4 linked regions of the Struthio camelus genome follow. The main gene of each other region encodes a partner of the protein of the gene in region 3 in a complex. Links are inferred from orthologs where the notes say so. Each region holds a gene or a part of one and is shown on either strand. Other genes may lie near its edges. The genes, in order: IQCD, EFCAB2, TCTE1 and GAS8.

Region 1 (7,405 bases), on a different chromosome or scaffold from region 3:
TTTTGCTGTCTTGCTCTGTGTGAACAAGCAGCTGTAACGCTTCATACCAGTGGTGTTCCTTAGTGCGGTGGGTCTCATTTTCTCTGTGCAACCCCAAACTGCTCTGGGCCCTTATGCATGGAGGTCACCACAGAAATAGGAACTATTAACCTGAAAGTGGTGTTTGCGAAGCCCTGTCATGCGCTAGCTAACCTGCATTCAACCCATTAGCTGGCAAGGGATGTGGAAGGAATGCAGGTCAAAGACAATTCTGCATATAACAAGAGTGATGAAATGTTCTCTCTCCCTCCCCCAATAAATGGAAAATAAGCACTAGGAAAGGGACACAATACTGTTATTTTTAATGATGTTCCCAGAGCCTCACCAGAGTGTTTCTAACAGGTTCCTGGGGGCAAGAGGAAGTTCAGGTCACTCCCACCTGCTCACAACACAGATGAAGAGCATGCCCTTGGCAATGACTCATAGCAAGACACGGGAACTAGTAAAAACAAGCGAGAGCTGCAGCAGGGTGCAGCGGTCAGGGATCAGGCAGTCCCGCAGATTCCCTAGGGCCTGTTTTGGTGCCAAAGCTCCATGTTCCCAGCAGTGCATCATGCAAGGCTCAGCACACCACAGCAATGAGTGCAACTGGCTCCTGCCAGGGCATCCTGAGGATGCAGCTCCTCACGCGGTGTCTGTTGTGGTGATACCCCAGGTTGCTGGTGGTGGCAGCCTGTGAAGTGCTCTCAGCCCTCCAAACGCAGTCCACTTCGGCTCAGCAGTATAGCTCGGTGCTGAGAGCACGATGGGAGTTCACGGCTTCAGAGCTGGTGTGCAGAAGAGCAGAAGATGCTCTCAGTGAACAAGTTCTGCCTCCCCGCAGCTGCATTCTGGCTACAGCCAACACAAAGTTAGTGGCAGGGACCTGCAGTCAGGGCCAAGAAGAGAGGGGACTGTCCCTACAGTAACACTGGGCCTGGGTACGATAACCTTGCAGCCTGGCATCTTCGTGTGCCTCTGCTCTTTTGCTGTCGTTTCACAATCAGTTTTAACTGGTGCAATATACTCCCCTCCCTGCTGTTCCTTCCGTTGACCCACATATGGATGGGTGGTAGCACAAGGCAAGGAACTGATTTGGATAAACCCAAATTGCAGAGGATCACAGCTTTCCACGCTGATCAGCAGAGCCTGCTTGCTCACACATGCCGAACCTTGCCTTCTCTTTGCCACAATGGAGAAGGATGAGCCAATTACTGCCTTTCAGTGAGTAGTTAAAAATTCTGCGTCTGAAGAGTGGTTCAAATGGGGAGGTGAAAAGGCAGACGGGGCCAAGCAGGCCTTTGATGTTCAGCTGTTTAGTTACAAGGGATATACAGAGACCTTTGCATCTGAACACAGCTGGACTTGAACAGTGGGGGACAGCATGCCTGGGCTGTACCCACACGCAGAGCCTCTCAGCTCCCCCTTTCCTGATCAGGTGTACCCAGCACAGCTCCCTTGCCCATACAGTTCTGATTCCCGAGCACCTTTGGATGTGCTGGAGCTCTGGGTCCTGATGCAGGCTGGGCCGGTTTGTTTGCAGGCTGAATTGTTTCAGGACCGATCTGAGGTTTTTCTACATCCTGGACAAGAGGAAGGGACGACACACAGTTTTGGTGACATTTCGTACAGCTCCCAAAGCAGCCTGGTTTCATTCCTGGCAGAAAAGCTGCTCCCGGCCTGGAGGTGGTACTGGAAGCTGCAGGACGAGTGAGGCTGCTCTGAGCACATGCCATCACCCCCACTGCAGCCTGCAAGTTTGAGATATCTCTAATTAGCATCCAGAAGGGAGTTGCAGTGCTCCATGGGTTTCCCTAGCTAAGAGGAGGTCTGGACGCGACCCACAGGCTCACCCTTTTCTTCCTCTCTCCTCTGTATGTTCCAAAATGCTTCTGTCCCTCCAGGCAGGCCACGTGCATGGGCACGCGGGACTCTCAGCTGACAATTGCTCACAGCAGTTGATCCTGTCTCCAGGTCATGGCTGTAAGGAAGCTGGAGTTTCCACTTCTCCGAGAGCAGTTGCCCATTTCATATGAGGCAATCTGGACTCATCAGCTTTGGAAAGAAAAAGACATTTTTTTCAAGACTGATTTAATTGCCAAAACGTCTACAGGGGAGTGGCAGCCTTTCACTGGGGTCAGGGTTCGCTCCTGAAATCCTTGGCAGGAAAAGAAGCAGCTCTCTATGTCTCCAGGGCTATTTCTCTGTGCTGCGATGACCGCAGTATGCCATTAGGAAAACATCCAATCAGCGGCACACTATCTTTCTGATTTTATGGCCCTGCTGTGCTAAAGCTGTGGGTCTCCTGCTCAGCCAGCACAGCCACGCTGATTTGGAGCTGACATAATCACAAGTGCCAAATTAGGGCACAAGAGAAGGTGCTTCTGGACAGCTCTGTGCTTTTGCTGGAAGCTGAAGACAGACTGTCCCACACACAGAGTTAGAGCTACCACCCCACCCCACAGCTGGCTGGGTGAACCAACTTAGGGTGTTGTGCTGGTGGCTGCAGCATTTTTGACTTGAACCAGACTTACCATTGCACTGAATCCCAGCCGGACCTTCCTCTGAACCTGTGCTGTGCTGAGCCCAGGCACACTAACCAGGGAGCCGTCCCCTGTTTGTGGCTCTGCACTTGCATGGTCCCAGGCAGAGGGAAGGAAGGGATCATGGCAACATTAGCGCCGTTCCTCCTCCTTTGACTTGGTTGCTGGGAGCAGGAGGCAGCTCAGCCACTGCACGAGCAGTCCCTGACCTGTACGTAAGGAACTGCTTCCCAGGGGTGCTTTCCTCCCATCCATCCTCGCAGGGGCCTGGCTTTGAGAGTCTGGCCCTGGTACTCCTACTCCATCTCCCATCACCAGATCCTAGTTTGCGTTGTGCAGGGAATAATAGCCAAGAGATGCGCTGGACCAGTGCTGGGCACAGTCTCCAGCGCTGGGGATTTATTCACTGGCTCAAACAGGCTAAGCCCAGAAATAAGTAAATGTTCTTGTTGACGTGAGCAGACTCTATGCAGCGCCGCAGCAGAGATGCCAGATGATGCTGTCCGTGGGGTCCCACAGCTGCTGTGCCATTGCTTAGCACTTACTCCTTCCTCTTCAGACAGAAACATGTCACTAGGACTAGCGCTGGCTTTGGGCATTTTGCCAAGTTTCCTCCCGGAAACCCAAGCCTTTCTCTCCCCACATGGATGCCTCCTGCTGATCCCTCAGCAGTGTGAGGACAGGACTTGCACTGAGTTTTGATGGGCCAGTATGTTCTCTACAGACGTCGCTAATTCATGGCTAATCAACTAATTGTGCATGTGTGGCATCTGCATCTTAATCAGCAGAAGCCTTCCAGAGTTTATTAGCATTTTAATAGCACTGAATGCAGTGTGATATAAAATTACTTTTCCTTAACAGTACAGTTAGGGTAATTTCTTGGTTGCTGATGGTCTTACATTTAAAATCCCCACAGACTTTATATTCTGCCCAGTCTAATTTTGCTACATGATCTGAATTTCTGTAACCGTGGCCTGACCGATGCGTACGTGCACTCTGCGCCCCTGAAAGATCTTTTTAGCAGCACCACGTCCCTGCTCTGGAGCGGTCTTTCCATCAGGGCCCAGGCAAAGGGTCCGTTTCCAGTGCGGCGGCGGCAGGTGGCTTGCAGCGGTGATGACCTGCTACTCCTGACGTCTTGTTCCTGAGGTCAGTGGCGGCGCTGAGACGTGGCGATGACGGTTACGCAGGAAACCCTTTGAGAGGGGACGGGGATGTGAGCACGGGCTCGCAAAAGTGCTTCCCCTACTTTGCCTTTGCTCTTTTCTGTGTGCGGAGGGCCTAGGAGACTTGAGTCTGGGGAAGGGGGTTACGAAGTTTACTTTTCGGCTTATTTTTCGAGCTCTTAGGAACACGCTGCCTGGTGTCCCGGGGGCCTGGCGGGAAGGCGAGCTGTGAGCCCGGATCTGCTCGCAGAGGACGATGCCAAATCCTTCAGGGAGACTTGCTTTGCCTGGCCTGTTCCCCGCCTGGTAAGCAGCCGTTACAAAAATAAAGCAAGGGCTGACCAGGCTGCGGAAAACCCCCGTTCCCTTTCCACTGATGCACGTTTCTGCCTCCCTCGCCTCTCTGTGTCCGCAGCACCGCTCTTCAGCGCTCCGCGGGGGCGGCCGCCTTCACGCCCCCAGCCCCAGCCAAGATGGCGGCTCCCCGCGCCGCCGCGGCTCGCTCCCGCGGCCCGGCGCCCTCAGGTGGCCTTCTCATTGGACAGTCGCGCTGCCCATCAAGCGCGGGGGAGAACGCTGAGTGGCTCGAGGTGTTGCGGCCCCTGAAGTGGAGCAGGCGCCATAGGCTGTCGGAGGGGACCTGCCCCTCCCCGCCGCGCTCGGTCGCCTAGCAACCCGAGGACTCCGGCGGCGGCCGGGCGGGCCGGGAGCGGCGGTGGCGGCGGGCCGAGCGGAGCCCGGGTAGCGCCCGCAGGGCCCCGGAGACCCCCCGCGCCGGCCCCGGGCCTCCCCTCCCCGGACCCGACCCCGGGCCTCCCCTCCCCCGTCCCGACCCCCCCCCCCGCCATGATACCCCCCGGGGCCTCTGTGCCCCCGACCCCCAAGGCCCTGCAACACACCCCGGGCCTCTGCCCCCCGGGGTCCTTGGGCCCCAGCACCCCCGGGTCCTGACCCCCCAAGATACACCCTGGCCCTTCACATACCTGGGCCTTCACCCCCCCCCCCCCCCGCCTTCCCTCTTCCCCCTTCTCCCTGCCAAGATACACCCTGGTCATCTCTCCCCTCAGGCCTGGACCCCCAACAGGCCTGGACCCACACTTGGGGGACCCCTGGCACCCCACTCCCACAACCCACGCACAGGGGATTCCCCCCCCCCCCCCAAGCTCCCTGAATCTCCCCTTGACCCATGCCCGGGGGATCCCTGGGATCCCCTGGCACTCGTGCCCCCATACACACAGCCAGAGGACCCTTGACTCTCTGTCACCCTCCCACATGCGGCTGCCCTCTGCCCCCTCACTGTCCCTTCCCCTGGCCCTTGTCCTTGCCAGCACAGCCCCTCCAGGCGGGGATCAGCTCTTGCACTTCCTCCCTCCAGCAGCACCAGGCCTGAACTGATGAAGGTGCATGTTTCCCACCAGGAAACCTGCCCTTCCTTCTGAGGTGGCCCTAGAGACCTGCAAGCCCCCCCCCCCCCCCCCCATGCACCTGTAAACATTGTAGAGCTGCAATCGGTGATCTCCATCTCACCTGCTACTTAGAAGGAGCTGGGAGCTTTCTCCTCACCATCCTTCAAAGTAGGGAGGTTATTAGTTTTCTTCCTTTCCCATGGGCGTTCTGGTACATTTGGACGTTTAACAGCATCTCTGGGATAGAGATCACTTCTAATGTAAAACCCCAATGCCCTTATTGTGTGCCTAGACCTAGGGACAACTAGAGTGTAATCTGAAACTCCCACGTTTTCCCAAATAATGTTGTTTCTCTAATGCTCTCACCAAACTTTATTTTAAAGATAAAATCTGAGGAAGAAGAATTTGCCACAGAAGCAGCAGAGGGACCTTGATGTACTTCGACTGAGTCATTCTCTGTGGTCTTACTCTTTGTGTCCCTTCTAGACCTCAGAAGACTCAGCTCAGAATTATTTAACCGAAGCCATGGCAACAGGGAATCCAACTGTGCTCCAAGGATCATCTCGGGACACGAAGCAAAGAAATAAGCCCTTGATAAAAGGCGTTCAAACTCCAAATAAGGAAGTGATCGGATTAGATGCCAAGAAGATGTTAGATCGAAGTCGGTCAAAACTTAATACTCGTGAGACCCAAAGAATCATATCTGTCTTGGATGAGACGATTGTCAAGCTGGAGCTGAGCAGTTTGATCCCTTGTATTATTGACTCTCTGGATAGGTTTGCTGATATGCTGGGCCCTGCGATCACAAATGACCTGATTGAGCACCAAAAGCTTTCAAGCAAAGTGGAGGACCTACTCTCCAGCTTTCAAGAAGAGGACACGTCAAGAGCAGAGGAACAGAGGGACTGTCTTTGCTTGCTAGAGCAACATCTGAAAAGTTCTGTTAGAAATATTCTGAGACGCTTGCTCGCCAACCCTTCACTTTGTCAGGCTCTGAAATATGAAGTCTGTGCAAAGCAGTCATCAGCTGAAGCGTTTATCAAGGCCTTTAGGGAGTTCAGGAATTTCATGCATGAGAGACTGCTGACTAGTCTCTTAGAAGAGAAAGAAAAGATTCAGTTCATGGAAAACATCTCCCGCCGGATTACAAAAAACACTGAAACACTCACAGCTTTAAAGGCAGAACTGGCAGCAACAACCCAGTCTCGAGATGAAAAGGTATGATATTGTGGGAATATGCTTTCTAACAAAGGGTCAATGAGGCAAAATTTTGGTAAACTAGGAAATAATCCTTTTCTTGCAGACCCTAGACAGGAAGTTCCAAAAATGGTTTGTAAACCAGATCCTAAAGTAAAATACACTTACTTCATTTCAAAATATAATTTAAAAGGCTTATTGCATGCTTGATTTTTAAACTTAAATTTCACATGTTTTTATCGTCTTCTCACTGGCAGTTTAAATCACCTTGGAAATCACCGAGTTTAAAAAGGAGATGTAGAACAGGCACAAATTGCTGCAATAGCATTTTGTCATTAATGCAGTAGTATTAAAATGCATTTTTAATATCTACTCAGCCTTCACTCTTGCTTAAAAGCAACATTTCTATGACTTCCAACTCTATAATACTAGCAACCTTAGAACATTTATAATTAATGTGTGATAACATATGTTTATTTTTTGCAAAGAAAGCAACAGAGGTAAACTAATGGACATGCCCAAGACCTTGGGCTGAGCCAGAATTTGAGCCCTGAACTCTTGACAAGCAATTCCTTGTTTTATATGTATGCTTTTTTTTCCCCCTCCTTTCAGCAAGAGGGGTCAGAGAGGAAAGTTCTGCACTGCACTGAATGGTGCTAATGCAGACAAGGGCCTGAATTCTCTCCACTCCCTGGAGATCTGTGAATTGAGACACTTGAGATTGTTATGTGCCATTTGGCAACTTGTCCAGTGCATAATGAATAAACCTGTTTTACTGGTCCCAGATGAGTATTTCTTTTGCAGGCAGCCCACTGAGCTGAGTCCCCAGGACTGTCCCTCTGAGCCTAATGCAAACTTGATGAAGCCAGTGGGCTGTTTCCAGTGGCTCTGACTTTGGATCCTGTTCAGATGGGGCAGCACCTGTGGAAGCTTCCTCAAATTACAGTGCTGGTGGGTCTCAGCATGGCTCATTCAATCTCTGACCTTATTCACAGGTTCACGGAGGAACTGTGAGAGGTTTCCAAAGCATCTTGGAAACTAACTAACTCTGTTCCCTTTGCTAGCTTTGGAGATC
Region 2 (7,143 bases), about 5.3 Mb from region 3:
CCTCCCCTTTCAGCCTCAGTGAACTCCCCATCTCTCATGCAATCATACCTTCAGATAACTTATTCAGGAGGCCAGGATTTGGGCTTCTTGGGTTAAGTCCTTGTTTATTACCTGAACGGAAAATGAAGGAACTATCATGTAAATTTATGTGCTTATTGCTCTTCTGTTGGTTAGAGTTGCACCCGAAAGGCTCTTCTTTCTTTTTCAAAAAGAAAACAAAATAGATAGACAAGATTCTGATGAAAATACCAGCAGTTTTGAAGAGGTCAACGGCAGAGCTATTAGTGGTGGGTATGCCTACTGTCTGGCTCTGCCCACTCTATGAGGCTTCTCTTCATCTGGTCCAAGCATAGGCTCAACAGACTCTAAGGAAAAAAGGAAACAAGCAGGAAGAGAAGACATTTCCCTCCCACACATCAAGGAATGAGGTATCTGCTCTCAATGGAATTTACCCAAAATTTGAAGGGAAGACATAGTATAGGTAAAGAACAGTCTTTTTTCTCATTTTTTATCTAGTTGCTGTATATCATTTGAGTGAACAGATAATGTTTTGCTAATACCCCATTTTGAAGAAGCTGTTACTGAGTCACTTGAATCAGCTGCTGATCCGAAGGAAGACCGAAATGAAGATGCCAAATGCACTGGGGTCTTTCATGTTATATTGGGGGAAAAGGGCACTGCCACCCAGAGATACATTTTAGCTGTAAGAACTTAGGCAGAGGAGTAAAGGTAGACTCCAGTTACAGAATCACAGCTATTACTTTGCTTTCTCTGTGAAGGGCAAATGTGTCTTCAGTTATATGGTCTGTTCAGATCCACAGAGGGAGTCCCATAGCAAAGATTTTCAACATGTGTTCACAATAAAGATGTGTCCAAACGCTGCAATCCCAAAACCATGGAGGGTTGGTAGGCATTATTGTGCCTCCTGAAAATACTTTATCTTTTACATCACTTTTCCCATTTTAGTACTACTTTTTTAATGCCAAACAAAATGTCTATGTACAGAAAATATACAAAATGTGTGATAGGTCCCTGATATTTGAGAGGAATGTATGTGATGAAATTCCTTAAGTGCAGAAGTAAGGGTGCCTTCTTTCTATTAGGCTTCAGTGGATTCAGACTGGACATCAACATAGCTGGTTTCTTCCATATTTTTCCCTGAGATATTTTTTGACATTTTTAAACGAAAAATTACAAGTTTAAAAGGGTATGTTCTCTTCAGAGGAGCTCTTTAAAGATCTTGCATGTAGCGTAGCAGCTGATATTCCAAGCTGTTGAATTAGTAGTTCTGGGTTTCCTTTTGTACTTGTCTGTGCCAAAACACGATTAGTTGTTTCAGCCCACTCATACCCTTGGTTTGAGATGTCTGTGCATTAAGTTAGAAGGGAAACAGTCATGTGGTTCAGGTCCAATATTTGATCTGCATCATAACTGTTACCATTTTTTTCCTTCATTTTTCAAGATAGCGTTGCCAGGAAATTTTAAAACAGTGAGTTTTCATTTTGAAGCGCTTTCTCATTGCGTATTTTGTTCTGCTCCTGCAGACAGGCAAGATGCCCAACCCTGTGTATCAGGAGGTGGGGGAAGAAGGGGAAACAGGTGCTGACATTTGGCCACAAGCTATTCAAAGCAAAAGGAAACTCTAGGCTGGAGCAGGGGATGCAGACAAAGCACTTTGATTTACAGTACTCGTCATGAGTGCAATCTCAACAACAGGGGCAGGATAGGGCAAAATATTGTTTGCTGATATTAATGATAGCTGTAAGTGACGAAAGATTTTGCAGCGAGGTTAAAGGTATCAAACTTAATGAGTTTGATACAAAAATCCAGGATTTGACCAATACCTTTATCTACTTGGTATAATGCTGTCCTAACGGAGCTATTGTACCATCTGGTGAGGGTCTGGTTCAGCTGCTACAATAGGATGCAGACATTGTGAGTATGCAGCATTTCCTACTGGAAGCGAAAGACAGTTTTTCCCTTTCTTTTTAGCTTTTACACACTGCTTCTGTTGCCCTCATTCTTCGAGGAAGTTAAAACAAGTGTGGGGAGAAGACCCGAGTTCAAACCCTTAGGCTGGTGAGGTAGACCAAGCATAGGCCCTGGGGAAATTACTGGAAAGATGTTAAATGTACTGGCCTGAGTGAAATTCCTTTCTCACCTCTTCATATTTGCAAAGACTCACTTCAAGTCAAAGGCAACTGTAAAAACACAAGATTTTTAATAAATTAGCATGATAAGCAATATTTATATCTATTTTAAAACTGGTGGTTGTTCATATTTTGGGTATGGGTTTGGCAAGAAAACCTAAATGAGACTGAAATAGGATTTTTAAAAGCATTTATTAGAACTTGGTAAACACTGTGAATAACTTAGCATTTGTTGAAGAGCTCTGAAAGTTCTCTGTTGAATCAGGTAATCTGGAAAATAACACAAGAAATCTAATGCCGGAGAACAATATTGGAGAACATGAAATTTCACAATTGGGGTAGAGGAGGGAAGTACTAACTAAGAAAGCTCTGAGCTTGTCCAACAACGTATTTGGCACTTTTCTTCAGTTTCAAACATGTAACTCATTTGCCACAGACACACAACCAGTCAGGACAAAGGTTTTGCGTGTGGAAGTCTTGAGAGAATAAGAAATGGGACCGCTGTAACATTGAAAGATAACAACAGCCTTTCCTTGTGCTGCTGCTAGGCCCTCTTCCTTTTGCTGCCATGCTGCTGCTCTCACCAGAACTTCTTCTATAAATTTGAGAGGAAACAAATCCATGCTCCTCATGCAGTCAAATATGTACTTTGAAATATTTAGTTACTTTCGTAAACCGTTCAAGTCTACAGATTACCATTCAGAGGGATCAGCTTTGCTCAGAGAGCACAAACAGCTGTTTTCCCAACAGAGTAATTGTGTGTTCTCTTGGGTATCTATTATACCCACTTTATTCTGAGCTACATTCAATAAAAATGCAGAAATAAATGGCTGAAAGGCACTGTGGATTTCTATTTCCTGCAAATAGCAAATGTTATTAAAAAGCAAGTTATTTTTTAGAGCAAGGAAGTCCTATCTCTGCTCAATGGGTTGCTTGAAATTTCAAGCTTCCATGAGTGCTGAGCACATCTAACTGTTTCTTTGAGAGGTGGATAAAGGTGTGTGAGGAGGAACCATCCACCTGAGCTTTGCAAAATTTAAACATCTGGCAAATAGGCACCCGCGGTGGCAAGGACCAGGTTCTAGTTCTAGGAATTTCATAAAAGCGTTTTTTTTTTTCTATGAATATATGATTGCATCTGATTGGAAAATTAATTCTTATTTTATCTGTATTTTCTGTACTTCCGTAGTTGTTTTTAGAGTTGGAAGAACCATGAATTGCAAACACGTCTGCTAAAAGATGTACCTAGAATTTTAGCCGTGTAGTTCTGTTTAGGATTAGTGGATAGACTATTTTAGGGGTTTCAGGGTGGTGGTATTCAGAAGGAAATGTTCCTTCACTGTCTGAAGCTCAGATACGTGGGAAATTATGCAGCTGCTGGGAAAACTCAATTTAGAAGAGCATAGACTATTGTGAAACAGCAACATCTCTCGGGCTCCTTCACAGCCTGCCAGCCAGGGCAGCGGCGTGCTGCGAGCGACGCTACCTCGCAGGCCAGCGGTACTTTCCCATTGCGTTTTCTACCTCCTTGGTAGCCGGGGGGGTACCGCAGCGACTACCGCTCGCTGCGGCGCGCGGTCCCGGGCGGTTTGGGCGGCGGGCGCTGCTCCCGCTTCGAGCGAGGCCCCGTCCGCTGCCCGCTGCGGGGTGCGCGCTGGCGTGGCCCTTCACCCGCCTTTTGGGGCTCGGCCGCCACGGAGAGCTGGCGTGTAAGGTCAACGCTCAACGCCGGCCACGAGCCCCGCCAGTGACCTTCTATTTGCCTTCCGCGGCGCGCGCCGAGAGGCCTCAGTTAAGGGCGATTTCGGGGGCCGCGAAGCGCCCTCGCTGCGGCGGGGCCCCGCGCCCAGGCCGCCGCTTACCGACAGCACGGACCCCTCCGCCGCCGCCAGGCAGCGCCGCCGGGCCCCGGCCGGCCGCCGCTCACCGGCCTGAGCCGAAGCCCGGGCCCGGCCGCGGGCCCGGCGGCGCTGACGGGCGGCCCGCGTCGCCATGGCGACGGCGCAGAGCTGGCGCCATGGCGGAGGAGGAGGGGAGCAGCGAGGGTAAGGCCAGGCCGGGGCGAGGGGAGCCGCCCGCAGCCTCTCGGCCGGGCCGGGCCGGGCCGGGCCGCCGCCGGCGCGCTTGGCCGCCTGGGGCTGCGCCGGAGCCGCCCGGCGGGTGGCTGGCTGCGGCCTGCGGAGCCGCGGGGCTGCTGCCGGCCGGGCCCACGGGCACGGAGAGACGCTGCGCCCGCCGTCCGCCCCACGCACGGTGGCAGCCAGACACCACACGGGCACACAAATGCGCGGAGACATAAAGACACACACACACACCCCCCTGTGCAGCACCACCGCCTCTTACCTGCCCCTGCCTCCGGGGGAAGGGCTCCTTCCCCAGCACTCCCTGTGGTGGAGGATGCCACCCCTGGGTGATGCCACCCCACCAGGAGATGCCACCCCTGGGTGATGCCGCCCCAGGCAATGCCACCCCGGCCGCGCTGTCACCACTTGGGGTGGCTTCGGGGGTGGGGTGGGGGGGCTAAACCAGCTGCTTTAGCCAGTTGGTCATCTCCTCTTTCATTCATTTTTGGATGTGTCAGGCGACCTCTGCCAAAAAAAAGTAATCTGGGCTGCTGATAGCATCATGACTTATTTTTAGAGGCAAGCATGTTCTACTTTAGCAAGCATTAGCAGAAATGATGTTTTATAGGCTAAGGGTAACTCCCGCCGCAAGGATATTCAAGTATCATTTCAAGAAAAGCAAATGTACTTCCTGTAAAACTCACAATACTGCGACTCTTAAAACTCACCCCTCATTTCCGTAAATAAACTGGTGTACATAGTAATATTTTGCAAATTCTAAATATTATATTTAATCTAAATAATGAATTATTTCATATTATTCAGGAAAAACAGTATCCTCCATAGAGAAATCCTGTATAAGCATTTGTTGCGGATAGTGCTGAATGAGTAACTCGATTTCATTAGAAGTATTTCTAAGACAGACTTTGCGGTATAGAGATCTCGCATAAAGTAAGAACTAAGACCAGTGTAGTTTCAACGAGGACTGTTGCTAACGGTATTACTTCTTGAATATTGTTTTCCATCTATGTTTAGTCTTGCAAAAGCATTTTTTTTTCAATCATTCCAGTTTTACAAATGAAGCTGAAGCACAGTACTGGTAGAGATAGATAGGTAGAGAGTTTAGGATAAGAGTCTAGAAGGCTGCTGACCCGTCTGAGAAGAGGCAATCTGGTGTTTTAGCAGGATAGCCGTGATATTGGCAATGTCTGGCTCCACATATTTTGAGCGCCCATACACACGTGAGATTTTGCACCGTTTTGGCAATCCACAGGCAAAAACTGTTGGAGAAGGAAGCTTGTGGTTTTTAGGTTGCTTGAGTAATGTGTTTTAATGCAGGTTTTGTAGATTCAAAGTGAGGATGCTTTTTAAAAGGTTTAATTACTGTATTACTGAAGAAACATATTTTGGTTTTTTTTTGCTTCTTATTTTTTAACATCCTGTAAAACACTTCCTAATAGGTATCAAATGTAGGAATGCCTCCTTCTATAGGAAAACAGTCCGTGCTGCCATCCTAAGCAACCCTGACACCTCAACTCCATTCCTAGCCCTATTGGACTTCCCAATGGATCGTGGGAAAGCAACATACTGGACTTTAGTTTCCTATCCATAAAATGAGGCCAATAAGCTCTATCACGTGGATATTTCAAGGACAAGACATGTAGCTCACCTTTAATCACTCAAGGGAGTTCTACTCTTTTATTAGGCGGACAAGTTGCTTCTTACCTCATAAAGGTTTCTCTTTATTATAAACACGTTTGAGGCAAACGAGCAGCCAGTGTCTCGTTAAACTGCAGAAGGAGTCCCACAAGGGTAAGTAGCTTCTACCCATTTTGGAGTTGCTATTAGCCTTCTTATGCATAGCAGTTAGAGGGTTAATTAGGATTCCCCAAATCTAAATTCACATGTTGATCACGCTTTCTTCCAACAAGCATTTCACATATAAAGTAAAAGTTGCAGTTTGTGTATTACGGTTCAAACAGAACAATAACATTAGCTGTATTGTCAAATAATTAGTCTTTAGGGTATTCCCCTCAGTTCTTTGTAGAACGGCAGTTCCTCCAGCTTTCATGGTAAAGGTTTCCCTTAGGTCCTATTATTTTCAAGTTTTGTCTTCTTCGAAGTTAAAATGCCTGCTTAAATATTTTACAGATACACACACACACACACACACACACACAAATGGTGAAAGGTCAAATCCTGCAACCTCTTATGCATAACATTACTCACATGAGTATTACCCTCTAATTTACATTATTCTTGTGAATATAATCCTGCATGCACAGAAGTGTTAGTAGAACATGCCCATAGTATCTGTGGCTATATGTTTTATGTATGAATTTATAGCTCTGTATTTGTGCTGCTTTATTTTTTCAACAATGCTTAATATTTTTCTTTATACTCATTTGATTACAGTAGTCTGTTTGCCTCATCTCTTTTTTTATATTTGTCTGTATCTTCCCTGCCATCATTCTATTTCTTACCCTTCTTTTGCTTCTTAGTTCGGTCTATCTGTTCTTCCATTTGCTCTCAGATACTTTTTTTCTTATAATTTGACATAAGATGTCAGATTTTCTAAATTTTAATATCTCCGATCTCAGTAGTGCTGTTACAAGAACCTGAAAGCAAAATGTCAGACTGGTAGTGCCTGAAGTAGAACTAGACAGAAGACAAGACATATTTTTCTCCAGCTGGGATTTAAGAAATTACATGAAAGTACATAAAGGGAAAAACACTCAGTGTTCCTATGTCATTATGGTAATGCTGTGTACTTGATCAATACTACAGTTTTTCTAAGACAATATTCATTTTGCTAGTTAGCACATGTTTAAAATGCAATTAATGCCACAAATTTTAATCCGAAAGGAATTATATTAAATAGTCTGAGCTCCTGTTTCACGCATTTACACTTATACAAAACTAAATAACCA
Region 3 (7,918 bases):
TAAAGCCAGTCCATTTGAAGATTAGATCTGCCTTCACTTATTTGCCAAGATCTGAATTCAAGCCTCTAACTTTAATTTTTTTTTCTTTCCCTGCGGGAGCTGATTATTACCCTGGGTGCCCTCCGGCGCGGTGCCTGCCTGCGCCGCACACTGGTACTGCTCTCCGCGGGTCTGGGAGAGGAGAGAAGCGAGACCAGACCTCGGCAGAGAAACGCCTTTTGCCATTAGGGACCCTGACACTCACAGGGTAAGGAGCCGCTCTGGAAGGGGATCAGTGGGGAGAAGGAAGGAACATGCTCTGCTTATTAAAAGCACAGGCCTATGATTTTGGATCTTGGCTCTGTTCACAGCGTTTTCGCAGGCTCCCAGCATCCTCTGACTTGTCTCAATAATCTTGTTTCCTCTGTGGACACCCCATTACAGTTCACAGTTAGTTGGAGAGGCAGAACTGGAGAAAAACACTGTTCTTCATAACTGTTATTGATAAACTGACCAATCTAGTGAGGTTTTTTCTCTCTTTGGGATTCTGCAGAGGAGCCTTGCTGGGAGGAGAGAATATAAGGTTCCTCTCAGCAGGCATTTCAGAGAGCTGGACTAGTACCTTTAACTGAGGGTTGAGCTTTTGGAAGCAGCCAGATGTTTTCCTTACCTCTCAGCAAATACCTCCTTTCTGGATCTCCAGGGGTTGGCATGATGTGGCCAGCTGTGCAGACTAGCAAGGGCTACAACGGGCAATGCTCAGTTCCTCAACTGTTTTCATGTTTCAGAAAGGTTCTTACCTGGACAGGGTGTCTGATATGTTGACAGTTATCCAGGACCAGATTGTTGCCCCTTGGCACCTGTCATATTGCAGTGACAACACTAACGTATTCCCAAATGGCTGGCTAACCTAGTTCTGCCTGATCGCTGCTCATTTCCAGGCTATTTGAAACTAAATGGATCCCTCATCTGGCATGCATTGTTTTCTTTACTTAAGGCCCGTTCCAGAGACTCAGGCTCTTTAAGAGTCTGCAGTATGCTTTCCTAATGCAAACTTAGCATCAGCCTTTCTACGTAAGCGAAAGGGAGCATCACATGTCACTGCTGGTGGTAGCAGGAGTAGCAGTGCTAGCCTGTATTCAGGCTCTTTTGCTGATGTCTCAGCTAGCCTATGCAGAGTAGACGTAACAACACAATGGCAAAGACACCTGAAGTTCACCTAGCATTTCCAGAATGCTGCAGCAAGGACGTGAGAACTTTTCTCAGTGTCCGGGTAGACCAAGCTTCAACGTGAATGCAATCTCAGCTAGAGCACAACCATACTCAAGAAGAATTTCCCCTACATTTACAAACTCTCCAGTTAGCAGGGCCTTTACAGTCATTCAGTTTCTTGGCTCAACATATTCTGGTAGGGGGCATCAGCCAAATGTCACCAATTTCCACATGACTCTTCTTAGTGGTCTGTCTGGGCTTTGGTGTCGTTCAAAAAAGCAGAAAACTTTTCTGTTTGAGCAGATGTCCTATTTGCAGATCAAAACAGGTGGGACTGAAGAACCAAAATGTTAGGTAGCAATGTAAGTTGGCTACGTGAATGGAATCCTGAAAGATTTGCTTCTTCTGGGGAAAGGAAATGTGATTTTTTTTTTAGAAATTTCAGTATATTTACCTTTCAGCCTAATCCGTATGTTAAATTATATAAACTAGGAATTTACTACATGTCCCCACTCATTGTATATTATTTAATAAAGCCTTTGCAGGATAGGTGACTTAAGTTTTAGAGTGGGTGGGAAGGAGCATGTGTTATTGCTGTTGACTTGGCTTACTGATAGTCAGTGAATTACAACACTTCTCTAGTGTTTAAATATATGCTCAGCAAATCCAGCCATGGGAACTGGCTTGGCATGTTAGCTCTGGCTTTATGAAGTTCCTAAAGCCAAGACAGAGGGGATGCAATAGTGAAAGCAACCCTTCCCCCAGACTGCATATTTGGACATCCAGACCCACAGAGGCTCACAGAAAACCAAGGTGATGAAGGCAAGCAGTGGTGAGTGGCTACTGTGCTGAGGGTGGTGTGAATTGATTCAGTGTGATCAATGACTCAGTGTCAGACTCAGCCCTCCCCAACACCTCAGTCTTGAGGTTGATTCAGACACCTTGTGGGCTAGTTATTACACACTAACAGCCTTCCTCTTGCTAGATTCGTGTGCACGCTGAATGCTGAGTGGGAACGGCAGAGTCAGAGGAGCTGACTTGGTGTAGAGCTCAGGTACAGACAAAAGTCCTCAGCAGATGGGCCACAAACACCAAGCTGTATTCTGCAGCCTCACATTTGGGATCAGCTTACATTGAGATTAGTCCTCATCTAGGTAACCTCACACACCAGGCAACCATCACTCAATGGATTTCATCCAATGTACCGAGGGGTCGTACTGATTTCTAGAGCTGGGTTTCTGCTCTGCCTGAGGACAGGGGTTGTGTCTCCCGCTTGGCCTGCAGGAGGCCATCTGGCAGTCTTGCATGCGCTGTGGGTTACTTTCTAAAAATCGATCTACCATCAGTAAACTGGCAATCAGATTATTTGCTGGAATACAGCCATGAAATAATCCTAGGCCATCAATGCTGCACTAGCTTTTCCTAACAGCTGGCCTTTAAAGATTGCTCCCAGAAGGTCAGAAAGGTCATCAGAAGCCCCAGTCAGCTGGGACTGGCCTGGGGGGCACAGTTACACAGATGCTTTTTGAATAGGATGAAGGACTGAGCAAGAAGAAAACATTTTTCCCAGGCACCTCTCCTCTTTCAGTGCCACCTCACCGCCGTCTGGCTGTGCTTTCCCTTTCCACTAAAGACGGCCAGCATTAAGAGCTGGGTTTTTAGCTGGGTCAATGTGTTGTGTTCTCTTTCCCCTCAGTGGTAGCTTGCCGTCACAGCACCTTCCTTTGGGGGCAGGGAGCTCTTCAAACACATGGTTGCCACTTCTCATTTTGGACCAGTCACATTGCATCCATTCCCTCCCCTTCCCCATCTCTCCTTCTTCAGAACAAAGCCCCTTTTTCTATGGCCTTTGCCTTTGTCATCCTTTCACCAAAGCCTAATGGGAGACATAACCTGCCTGCCTCAGCGTCCTTCATCCTCCTGCTTTGTGATGGAGGAACCCCTGCCACTGCCATCTCCCTCATCCTTATTTCCTGACTCTCATTCTGAAAAGATCATTCTTTTCTAGGATCTGCTGAAAATGCATTTAAAGAAGCCTTTGCTGACACACTTGCTGCAGTAGATATGAATCATTTTGCTTTGCTCTTCTAGTTCCTGGCATGTCACAGATCTTTTGCACATTCCTTTGTAGGCCCTTTCATCGGATGTCTTTTGGAGGGGGAAGGAGCAAAGGGAGGAAAGCTAGCAAAGCCTACTACAAAGCTTTCGGGAAAAGAGGGGCTTGTGCCGACTGAGGCAGCACAAACTGGGACTTCAGGGGAAAAGGAAGCAGCCTCATGCAAGGGAAGAAAATGAGGCATTTGATCTGGGGAGCACCATCTGGCTCTTGCCCTCCGTAAAGGAGGAGCTGTTTGCAATCAAAGCACTGTTCATCTGAGGGATATTGTGGCACAACACACTACATGGCTATCAGCCTCTGTGTAGGATGTTGTCACAGGATCCTTCGACTCTATCATGGTGCAGGGCCCCCTCTGCCCCAAGGCTTCCCCTTGGTCTTGTAGGAAGCTGCCCTTGCCTCTGGCACTGCCAGCAATGCAATCTCAGCTAGAGCATAACTAGACTCAAGAAGAATTTCCCCTACGCTTGCAAACTCTCCAGTTAACAGGGCCTTTACAGTCATTCAGTTTCAACAGCCTGGTGCTGTTTTCACATGCCCTGGAATCTCTAACTATCCTTCTCCCTTTCAAGCAGCTCCCTTGAAATTCAGTTCCTCATAATGACTCTCTTGTTCTTATGAGCCTCTTTCCTCTCCCACTAAACTGTAGCCCTGTTATGTCCAGTTACCCCCAATACATATTTAGCATAGGTCTGGGCACCTTGCGACAGGCTTGCCAAGCCTGGGCAACGCTGTCGAATCCAGGACCCAGAAGGCAGAAGAAGAGCCTTCTGCTTCCTGGTGTCTCCTCTGACTCTTTCAGACTGGTGGGGTTGGTGAGGGAACCATTAGGACTTCCAGACAATAATCATACATGTCCGATAATGAAGGCTGAGAGTGCTGGTCCTGAGGTAGGGGTAGGAAATAGCAAAAGGGAAGATCTAGTCTGGGAAAGCTTTGCAGAGCTAACAGGACTTGGGCATCCTGCCTTCTGCTCTAGCCTGGTTCTTTTAGCTCATATCTGCTTATCTTCAATGTGGGTCTGAATAGAACTGACCCACCTCATCAGTTAATGGATGTTTGGAAGGAGTTCAGCTGGTAATTAATTGTGAAAGGCGGAAAAAAATGAATATATGTATAGTAAGCATCTATCTTTACAGAGTCATAAGAGCAGGCATATTGGAACAAATGTGGATTATCTGGCCCAGTATCCCATTTCTCACAGTGACCAGATGCAAGTATACATGTTGCTTCCCTCCAGCATTCTCCCCACCTCCGACCATTTTCAACTCATACCGAGCCAGATGTAGTTTCTGTGTGTTTAATCATTCTCAAAGGGGTTTATCTTCCATGAACTTGTCCAGTCTCTACTGAAACCGCCACAGATTTTCAACATCCACAATATCCTGTGGCAAGAAACTCCCCAGCGTAACTACAGATGGTGTGAAGAACCATCTCTTTTCTGTGTTTTGAACCCAGCTCCTGCCACCTTCACTTAAGGCCCTTATTTCTTTTATTGGAAAAGACAGTAAGCAACCCTTTCCTGTCCTCCCTCTTCAATAGCACTTTGAATTAACACCACATTATTATCTGTTTATTACATGTAGCACCTAGAGATGTCTTTGTGCTGGGCACTATACAAAGATAAGGCTAAATAATAGTCGCTGTGCTGCAGTGCTCCCAGTCCAAGAAAAGGCAAAAGCAGGCAAAGGGCAGGGGAAAAGTGCATCACAAAAGAGTAATGTGAGCAAAGTATTCTTATTGCTTGGCCTTTTACTAAAATTATCTTTTTCTGTTCCAGGCAGTCCAGTTGGAAAACGTGGTGGTGACTTCTGATCTCAAGCAATTTTTCTCCAGCTTCTCCTGAAGGAGAAGTGGGACCTGAGCAGGATGCAGGAGCCAGTGGCTGGTGATGTGAGCACAGCCCTTCCCACATTCCCATCCCAGGCCAGCTTCGCTGCTGATTCATCCTGTATACAGCGCATCATTGCTGAGGATCCTGAGTGGTCCCTCGTCATTGTCCCACAGCTCACCGAGCTCTGCCTCCAGCACATCATTCGAAATTTTGAAAGTAAGCAGGAGTGCCTCTCGCCTGGGACACACAGAGAGACAGCATCTCTTTTGGGAAGCAGGGGGTCAACAGAGCAGGCAGATGCATCTGAAAGTCACAGAGGGTGGTACCCAGCCCTGCCAGAGAAACAGATGGGGAAAAACATCTCCTCAAGCAGCTAGTTAAGCAAGCTATTTAGTTGCTAAGCATGTACTTGCACACTCCAGGGACACTCCAGAGGACATTAGTCCTCTGGGCTGCTATCCAGGATGTGACTCTGCCCTAACCTTGTCCTATCATTTCTTCTTCCTTCCATGGTCTGCTGGACTCACTACCTCAACTGTGACCAGGACTGTGAAGCTGCTATTTCCTTCTCTTGATTCATACATACATTATGGTAGTACTCAAGGATAGAGCTCCCATTGTGCTGAGTGCTGTACAAAGAGATGTAGAAATACTCCCTGCTCCAAAGAACCCTCATCTCAGAATTCATATTGTACTCACAGTTTCAGGCCTTCTCCACAGCTTTTGGTGGTGATGTGATAAGTCATGTCCCCAGGCAGGGAAAGTGCTTTTGAGGCAGGTGGACTGATGAAACACATAGAAAAACATAGAAAGGGTGTCTCATCTGGGAAGCGAGTGGGAGGAGGAAAGACAGGACCTACCTGTGTTTTTGGCTGACTTAGTGGAGTTGTAGCAAAAACCAAAGATAGGTATAAGGGTATGTTCACACTGGAACTATAATACAGTATAGAGAAGCTCAGCGCTGCCTTAGGTCCCAGCTGGGAGACCTTCCAAGTCCTTTCAGTTTGATCAGTCAGCCTGATGCCAAACGGATTGGACCGACAGTGCATGCATGTAAGTGTGCTCAGTCTCTTGGAGTCCCTCATACCAGCGTCTGACCTGTGCAGCTGCATCTTGCCCACTGCTGTTGCCTGAGTGAGCCAGACTGAAGCTAGTCTACTTATGCCAACATGTGTCTCACCTCTGCTTGCATTGTGAGCCTTTGCAGAGAAGGTCACTGCAGTGCCAGCTCTCTTATTGGAGAAGAGACTCCGGGAAGAGCCTCTGGTAAAACTCTGCACGTCCTTAGGAAGAAAATGCCCCAGAGAGAGAAAAAATATAAGACTAACCCCACTTTGTGTCTAAGAATTTGACTTCCCATGTGCAGACAGGCCTCTCCACTGATAAGGTCTGTGATTCAACACATACATGTACCTGTCACCAAGTATTCATGGTGTATATACACATTGCTTTTCTCTGGTATCTCTTACCACAAAGAACTTCCACCAGAGAAAAGTCAGCTGACACTCAAAGCAAGGGACTGAGGAGAGAAAGCTCCTGGGAAAGGAGAACCCTTATTTAAATAGGGTGGATCTGAAGGCTAAGATAAAGTGCGTCTTAGTGGGAAGGAATCAGGAATCAGTTTGGAGTAAGACAGACACCTGAGTTAAGATGAAAAGACGAGGACTTGTATGAAAAGCAAACAGACAGTTCACTTCTCAAATATCATCCTTTAATACGGTTAGAATCCACAGGGGAAAAGTTCAGCAAATGACAAGTCAAATTCTGCCATTACTGTAAGCCTAGAATAGTTGTGTTAGTGGCAGCAGTCTTTCTCTGAACATAAACTGAATTAAAACCAAAGTTAAACTGATGATCTGGATTTAGAGTGCTGGAAAGCAGATCCTTTCAAGATCTATTCAAAACTATATGCAAATTCCCAACTACAGGTCAATAACTTTAGTCAGGACCTTGTTTGTGGTACCCAACTTTGGTGGTTGCAGAGACAGGAGCTAAGTTCCTGATGCGGTCTCCAAATATTATGAGAGTAAATTCAATTACGGTGATATTTTACAGTAAAAGATAGAAATCCTACACAAAAATGAGTCATTTTCTGCCAGCTTAGTTCCCTGCACCGACTAAAGGTAACTGAGAAGGGAGCCAGTATCAGTAGAGGGGAGGGCATGAACACACAGCTGAGGGTCTGGACAGAACCTTGGCCTACAGGTGCCATGGGCCTACAGCCCAGAGCAACCTCTCCTCCTCTCCATCCCCTCCAGATAACCCTATTATGGACTGTCTTCTGCCTGAGCACCAAAGGAAGGTGCTGGACAAGCTCTCCACTGGACTTCCACTAACTGTGACTGCCAATCTAATACGTGATGAGGACTACTGGAAGAGGTGCTGCACTCAGCGCTGGCAAGTGTGCGATGTCTCCAACTATGGAGATAGCTGGAAGCGGATGTTCTTCGAACGTCACCTGGAGAATATCCTGAAATGTTTCATCCCTAACATCACGGACCCCAACCAGGTCCTGGAGCTCATCCCACTCTGCAAAGAGTATGTGCGGAAACTGGAGGTTGATCAGTTCCTTCCCCCAGTGAAGCTGGATCAAAAGGAGGAGGAAGATGACTTCTCCGATTCCGGGAGTGACTTTGAGCTCAGTGAAGCCTCCATGCATCACTATGACCTGGGAGTCCTCATTACTGCTCTCCCTCATCTTGAAGAGCTTATTCTTACTTATGGTGTGAAGGACTGTGGCATGAACTTTGAGTGGAACCTCTTTAACTTCACCCACC
Region 4 (6,915 bases), on a different chromosome or scaffold from region 3:
CCCGGAGGGACCCCGTGGCACGGGGGGAGCCGGCCGGCCCTCGGCCCCGCACGTGCCAGGGCCGCGGGCAGCTGCTCGCCCCCAGGAGGGCATCAGTGCGGTGGGGAAGGGGACAGAAATACCCAGCCCAAAGGAGCCGGGGCAGGGAAACGGGGTGGGCGGGGGGGGGGATTCGGTTCCTGCTGGCAGGGCAGCCCTGGGGCCCGCATGGGGTGCATTGAGCTGCCGGGTGCCCCGTGCACCCACCTCGACAGCGGCTCCGCCGAGTCCCGACCCCGCCAGATGTGATGGGGCGCCCTGCCCTTGCATGGGGGACTCGGGGCACCCTGCCCTGCTCTGCGCAGCGAGCCCCGCGCGTCCCCGTCCCCGCCGCCGCGGAGGTGGCTCAGCTCAGCCTGCCCGGACAGGTGGGCAGAGCTGCCCGGCTGCCCAGCCTGCTGCCAGCGCCGGGCGGTGAGGCGGCGGCGTCCCCCCGCCCCGGCCCCGGCAGCATCCCTGCCCGGCTCTCCGGCGGCGCAGCCCCGAGCACCCACGCACCGGGCTGCTGCTCAGCGCCGGAGAAATCCCCTCTCGCCTGGGCCTGCATGGTGGCGGGGTGCCGCCGGCCGTGCCGGGCCGGGCCGCGCTCCGTCCCTCCGCGGCTGCTGGGGGCTCACCGGGCGCCTAGGTGGGACACGGGGCCGGCGTCAGGGCTCCCCCGCCTGCTCTGCTGACTCACGTTAAACCGCAGAGCGAGGCAGCGCTGGGCTCCGGCCGCCCGGCCGCAGCCGTCCCCCCGCCTCGCCGGGCGCCCCGTCCCCCCGCGCCGCTCCCGACGGCCGGGGCCCTGGCACAGCCGCGCGCGGAGCACGCGCCGGGAGGGACGTGGGCACAGGCGCCCCCGCACCGCCCGTGTCACCCGGCAGGGCCCCGGCTGCAGCCCCCCGCCGGCGCTGGGGACCCCGGCACGACCACCACCCCGTCCTCGCGTGCCCCAGCACCCAGCGCGCGGCCCCGGCAGACGCCCCTCGCGCGCGTGCCCCCGCCCCTGGCGCCCCTCGTGCACGCAGCTGCCCCGGGCACCCGCGGCGCGGCCCGAGCCGGCGTCCTGGACGCTGCCATGCGCCCCCTCTGCCCCCCCAGACATCCCCGGCCCGGCCCCCCCCCGGCCCACAGACACCCACTCGTGTGGACAGACGCGACACCCGTGTGCGCGGGCACCCCTAAAGCGGCCCCCTGCACGCTCGCACCCAGGCACCCGCTTGTGCCCACCCTGCACCCCACCTTGCACACGCCCTTTGAGCCCCTGTCCCCCCCCCATGCACGCACCCCTTGCGGACATCCCACACGCACCCCGGTGCGCCCCCATCCCCATGCACACCCCTCTTGTGCACCCCATTGTATGCGCACCCTCCTTGCACACCCCCCCACGCACACCCTGCTGCACACCCCCTTGCACCCCGTCACTGCCATGCACACCCCTTGCACATACCCCCCCACACCCATGCACACCCCCCCTTGAGTAACCCCCTACCCCCCATGCACACCCCTCCTGCACACCCCCTTGCACCCCCTCACCCTTATGCACACCCTCTTGAACACCCACCCCACCCCACCCCTATGCACACCCCCCACCTCTCCTTGCACACCCCTTACCGCCCCCATGCACACCCCTCCTGCACACCTCCTTGCACCCCCCCCATGCACCGCCCCCCGGCAAACATCCTTCACAGACTTCCATGCATGCTCCCCCTTGCACACCCCCCCGATGCACACCCCCCTTGCACCTCCACCCCACCCCCATGCACACTCCCCCTTGCACACCCACCCTACCCCGATGCACACCCCCCTTGCACACCCCCCTTGCACCCCCACCCCACCCCATGCACACCCCCCACCTCTCCATGCACACACCCCCTTGCACCCTCACCCCCCTGCACCCCCCCTTGCACACCCACCCCACCCCTCCATGCACACACCCCCTTGCACACCCTCCCGGTGTCCCCCTCCCCCCCCCCCCAGTGTCCCCTTCGATCCCGCCGTGCCGCGCCCAGCCCGGTTCGGCCCGGTGCGGCTCGGTCCCGTCTGCCGGCCCGCAGAGGCGCCCGGCCCGAGGCCGCGGTGATGGGCGCGCCGGCCCGGTTCCCCCTCCTTCCCCCCTCCCCCCCCGCGGCCGCCGCTCACCTGCGGTGCCGGCCGCTCGGGCAGCCTCCATGGGCCGGGCCGGGCCGGGCCGGGGCCGGGGCCGGGGCCGGTGCTGGGCGGGGCGGGCCCGGTGCCAGCCCGCAGCCCGCACGCTCCTGCCCGCCGCGGCGGGGGCGGCGCCGGGGGCGGTGCGGGGGCGGGGGCCGGGGGGGGACCGGCCCCGCCTGCCCGGGGCGCCGCGGGGACCGGGGGTGCGGGGAGCCGCGGCGGGTGCGGGGGGGGCAGTGCGTCTTAGGGTGCTGAGCAGGTCCTGGGGGGTGCAGAGGGGACCCCCGGGTGCAGGGATGACCTGGAGATGCAGAGGGGATCCTGAGGATGCAGAGGGGTCTCAGGGTGCAGAGGGGACCCCAAGGTGCAGGGAGGACCTGGAGATGTAGAGGGGACCCCAGGGTGCAGGGAGGACCTGGAGATGCAGAAGGGACCCCAAGGTGCAGGGAGGACCTGGAGATGTAGAGGGGACCCCAGGGTGCAGGGAGGACCTGGAGATGCAGAGGGGACCCCAGGGTGCAGGGAGGACCTGGAGATGCAGAAGGGACCCCAAGGTGCAGGGAGGACCTGGAGATGCAGAGGGGACCCCAGGGTGCAGAGGGGACCCCAGGGTGCAGGGAGGACCTGGAGATGCAGAAGGGACCCAGAGGATGCAGAGGGGTCTGAGGGTACAGAGGGGGCCCTAGGGGGTGCAGAGGGTTCCCTGGGTGCAGAGCAGACCCCAGGGTGCAGAGGGGTCTCAGGGTGCAGAGGGGACCCCAAGGTGCAGGGAGGACCTGGAGATGCAGAGGGGACCCCAGGGTGCAGAGGGGACCCCAGGGTGCAGGGAGGACCTGGAGATGCAGAAGGGACCCAGAGGATGCAGGGGGGTCTGAGGGTACAGAGGGGGCCCTAGGGGGTGCGGAGGGTTCCCTGGGTGCAGAGCAGACCCCAGGGTGCAGAGGGGTCTCAGGGTGCAGGGAGGACCTGGGGGTCCCCAGGGGTCCCGGGATGCCCAGTAGGGCAGGGCAGGATGCGCCATGCAGAGCTGCAGGCAGCAGAGCCGGAGCAGCACGTGCCCAGAGCCAGGGGTCCCTGGGCCCCGCGCTGGGGACAACCTGCCGGGGACCCACCTGCAGCACCCACCCCGCACCCAAGCCCTCGCGAGCCCTGCACCACGGCCCGGCCGGGTGCATGGCCAGGGGCGACGCCGAGGGGCCCTGCATAGGGACCGTGAGGGGCACCCAGCCGGGCTGGGGCAGGGACGGGCGCTGGAGGCCGTGTCCTCGCCGGGAGCCCGGGCCCTGCCACGTGCCGGGTGGCCGGGCACCGGGAGTAGCGGCGGGCGCTGAGGTTTGCCACGAGGGGCTCACGGTGGCGGAGGTGAAAGCCGGCAGGGGATGGTGGCAGCTCCTGCTCCCGAGGGGCAGGAAAAATCTGATGCAAATAGAAGCGGTGCAATGAGTTTGTGAGGCCTCGGGTGCACGGTCCCTCCAAAGGAGGCCGGAGGGGACCTGTTGGCCCCTGTATGTGGGCTGGGGGCAGCCGGCCGGGCAGGGGCAGTGCCGGCCGGGCAGCGGCGCCCCGTGGCCTGCACGGGGCCGGGGCCGGGGCGGGGGGACGCGAACCCGCGTCCTGGCCCGGGGTGGGGGGGCCGCCGGCTGCGAGGCTCCGCCGCCGTTGCTAGGGTCGGGCCTCGTGTTGCTAGGGGGCGTGTCTCCCGGTGCAACCCCGCCCCCTTCCCGCGGCGCGGCTCTCGCGAGAGTTGCCCGCCCGTTGCCTGGAGACGGCGGCGCGGGCGGCCGCAGCCATGGTGAGGACCGGCGCCGGGGCCGGGCCGGAGCCCGGGGGCGAAGCGGCCCCGGGGGCGGCGGGAGCCGCGGGGCATGGGCGGGGGGAGCCGAGGGGAGGCAGGGGGGAGCCCCCAGGGAGCCCTCGGGTACGGGCGTGGGGAGCCGCGGGGCCCGGGCCGGCTCCGGGCCTGGGGCAGCCCCGGAGCGGGGGGTGCGGGCCGCGGCGGGGGCTCGGCAGCCCCCAGGGCTCCGCGGGCGGGCGGTGGTGAGCCGGTGGGCTCTGGTAGCGGGGCCGTCAGTTGCGGAGGGCAGGGGAGCCCCTCCGGGCCCGAAGCTTTGCTGCGGAGCGAACCTGCAGAAGCTGCTCGTGGAGCTGCAGGTGTCCCAGAGGGTCTCGAGTGTCCTGGCTGCTCCCCGGGACCCCGACCCCGTCGCCCTTCTAAACCTCTCCACGCCGTGAGAGCAGGCAAGCTGCGTGACTGGCCTGGACAGCAGCTCGAGCAGGAGAGCGCTGAGCAGCACAGCTTCCTCGCAGCCCCCGAGACGCACGCACACCTCATGCGTTTTGATTTCTTTTCTTAGGCACCCAAAAAAAAAGGTGGCAAAAAAGGGAAAGTGGGCAAAGCTCCAGCAGTGGTGGATGGCTTGTCCCCCAAGGACATGAGCAAGGAGCAGGTGAGAGCTTGCCACATATCCCAGCCTACCCCCAAGGTCAGAGGACACTGAAGTTTGTGAGAACATTAGCAGAGGCCGGTGCTCGATGTTTGGTTCAGGCTCCAGGGATGACAGGTGGCAGAGGTTAGTCGAGAAGACAGAACAAGCGGTTGGTGTTCATTTCACTGCCTCACACATGTCTGGACAATGTGTACGATCTCACAAAGCCTGCTCAGCACTTTTCCTGAAAAGATCAGCCACCTCGTCTCATCTTCCCTTCTGCTGTTCTCCAGCCCAGTGCCTTCACTGTCTTAGGCCTGACTTCATAACCGTGGCACCCTGCTCTCTTGTTTCATTGTCCTAGTGCTGTGAAAATGTCCTGATAGAGTGTCCTGGTGGTGTGAAAAAGGTACCCCTGATGAGACTATACCATGTTATTTAAGTACTTTATTTTCTGGTATTTTTCCTTCTGTCAGTAACCTGCCTGACAGACAGAGATTGTACTTCAATCAGTGTTTCTCTGTCCATCAAGCCCCCCTAACTGACTGCTTCCACCCATAACTGGAGCAGACTGATCTCTGCAAGCAGTTGCACTCATGCTCGTACTCAGCCCTGTGACTGCCCAACCTGTATCTTCGTGGCTTGCAGCCTGTGGCACTCATCACAAAACGCATTCCTTCTTGGACAGGAGGCTCTCTTAGGTGCCCTAAGGAAGGGCAGAGGTGGAGAATGTAACTTCCTTCCCTATGTTCAGTTGCTCCAGATGCTCCACTTTGGGCTGTGTTTTGGTGGTATCCTACAAACATAGCAGAAGTTGGCCCTGTCCCAGGGACCTCACTGCCTGGGATAAGATTTTCTGCTTCTGACCTAGTGTTGTTCAGGCATCGCAGAACGGTGTTACTGGCCACGGTGAGACAGAATAGCTGAGTCCTGGCCTCTTATGGCAGGAAAAGGTCTTATTACTCTTCCCAGAGGCTGATGGGTTGCTGTCAGGTCCTGTGCAAACCCCACCCCCTCCAAATGTCTCTTGTTCAGGGTACCTCCCCTCCTGTCCTGTGCTTTTCTGTCCCATTAAAAGCCACTATGTTGTGTCCTACCAAGGTTGCAACATGGGTTGCTATGGATATCTTGAAAAGAGCCTCGGTTCAGCTTTTTTTTCCCGGAGAGCTGTCTGTCCGAGGCCTCCTTTTCCTCCTATTTGGTTCTTCCTATTGGCTTTGCAGCTGGAGGAACACGTTGCGCGTCTCCAGGAGGAGCTGGACCAGAAATGGCAAGAGCGAAACTATTTCCAGCTGGAGCGTGACAAGATTCACACCTTCTGGGAGATCACCCGTCGGCAGCTGGAGGAGAAGAAAGCAGAACTGCGTAACAAGAACCGGGAGATGGAAGAGGCGGAGGAGCGACATCAAGTGGAGATCAAGGTGGGAGGATGAGTAGGCTAGGACCTGTCGTGAGTACCTTGGCTGGGCAGGAGCTGCGGGTGAGCCCTGGGCAGCTCGGAGAGGAGGTGAGGGAAGGGAGGTGGAGGAGGAGGAGATGGGCAGGATACAGTCCGGGGCATCTGGGTCAGTATCCCAGCTTCAGGTGTATTCCTGTCAGCATCTCCTGAAGCCCCTCACCTGGTCTGTGGCTTGTCTTTAGGTTTACAAGCAGAAGGTGAAGCACCTGTTGTACGAACACCAGGAAAACCTCACTGAGCTGAAGGCAGAGGGCACCCTGTCCATGAAGCGGGCCCAGAAAGATCACTGGGCTCAGGAGATGGAGCTGCGTAAAGACGTACGCTCCTTGAAAGTGGAGCTCAAGGAACAGGAGCTAGCCAACGAGGTGGTGGTGAAAAACATGCACCTGGTAGGTCGCTGGCAGGGCGGGAGGGGCAGCAGGCCCGGGCTGAGGCCCGGGCAGCAGGCAAGGCTCGTCTGCGGCAGAGGGAAGTGCTGAGGCCTTTGACTGAGCCCTCCCTGCCCTGGCGTGTGAGCAGCAGACTACCTTCCTGCTGTCTCCCTGGAAAGAGAACAGGGTTTCCCATATGCGCCAGTAACAGATATACTTAGGTGGGTTGAAAAGACAGCATAAGAACAGAGAGACGGGCTTCCTGGGGCAGCTCCTTAGAAGTCATCCCTCCTGCAGCAGGGAGCCAGGCAGCAGCTCCAAGGCCATAAGGACAGATGGAGAATCTACTAAGCAGCTGTCTGCTCAGACAGCATGGGATCCATGTGAGGTGGCAGGAGCTGTTCCCAGACAGCAGGAGGACTCTCTTGGGGTGTAGCTGACCCTGGGGAGGTTTAGCCACTTCCTGGGGCTGTCCAGGGCTGTTGGA

The links.
Region 1: TCTE1 (region 3) and IQCD share a complex: the UniProt entries of both Homo sapiens proteins name them as parts of the nexin-dynein regulatory complex. The link is inferred for Struthio camelus from reciprocal best matches to the Homo sapiens genes DRC5 and DRC10.
Region 2: TCTE1 (region 3) and EFCAB2 share a complex: the UniProt entries of both Homo sapiens proteins name them as parts of the nexin-dynein regulatory complex. The link is inferred for Struthio camelus from reciprocal best matches to the Homo sapiens genes DRC5 and DRC8.
Region 4: TCTE1 (region 3) and GAS8 share a complex: the UniProt entries of both Homo sapiens proteins name them as parts of the nexin-dynein regulatory complex. The link is inferred for Struthio camelus from reciprocal best matches to the Homo sapiens genes DRC5 and DRC4.

What each region holds. Positions count from the first base shown.
Region 1 is NC_090958.1:4,675,153-4,682,557, reverse strand, and holds the start of IQCD (dynein regulatory complex protein 10), read left to right. Parts: upstream 1-4,392; 5' UTR 4,393-4,468; intron 4,469-4,809; exon of another isoform or gene 4,810-5,309; intron 5,310-5,516; 5' UTR 5,517-5,658; coding exon 5,659-6,351; intron 6,352-7,405. UniProt on the Homo sapiens protein: Component of the nexin-dynein regulatory complex (N-DRC), a key regulator of ciliary/flagellar motility which maintains the alignment and integrity of the distal axoneme and regulates microtubule sliding in motile axonemes.
Region 2 is NC_090944.1:99,242,642-99,249,784, forward strand, and holds the start of EFCAB2 (dynein regulatory complex protein 8), read left to right. Parts: upstream 1-4,132; 5' UTR 4,133-4,167; coding exon 4,168-4,195; intron 4,196-7,143. UniProt on the Homo sapiens protein: Component of the nexin-dynein regulatory complex (N-DRC), a key regulator of ciliary/flagellar motility which maintains the alignment and integrity of the distal axoneme and regulates microtubule sliding in motile axonemes.
Region 3 is NC_090944.1:104,556,700-104,564,617, reverse strand, and holds the start of TCTE1 (dynein regulatory complex subunit 5), read left to right. Parts: upstream 1-4,912; 5' UTR 4,913-5,176; coding exon 5,177-5,357; intron 5,358-7,399; coding exon 7,400-7,918. UniProt on the Homo sapiens protein: Component of the nexin-dynein regulatory complex (N-DRC) a key regulator of ciliary/flagellar motility which maintains the alignment and integrity of the distal axoneme and regulates microtubule sliding in motile axonemes.
Region 4 is NC_090951.1:1,755,075-1,761,989, reverse strand, and holds the start of GAS8 (dynein regulatory complex subunit 4), read left to right. Parts: upstream 1-3,898; 5' UTR 3,899-3,961; coding exon 3,962-3,964; intron 3,965-4,526; coding exon 4,527-4,619; intron 4,620-5,821; coding exon 5,822-6,019; intron 6,020-6,239; coding exon 6,240-6,446; intron 6,447-6,915. Other genes in the region: DBNDD1 (dysbindin domain-containing protein 1), read right to left, coding at 538-586. UniProt on the Homo sapiens protein: Component of the nexin-dynein regulatory complex (N-DRC), a key regulator of ciliary/flagellar motility which maintains the alignment and integrity of the distal axoneme and regulates microtubule sliding in motile axonemes.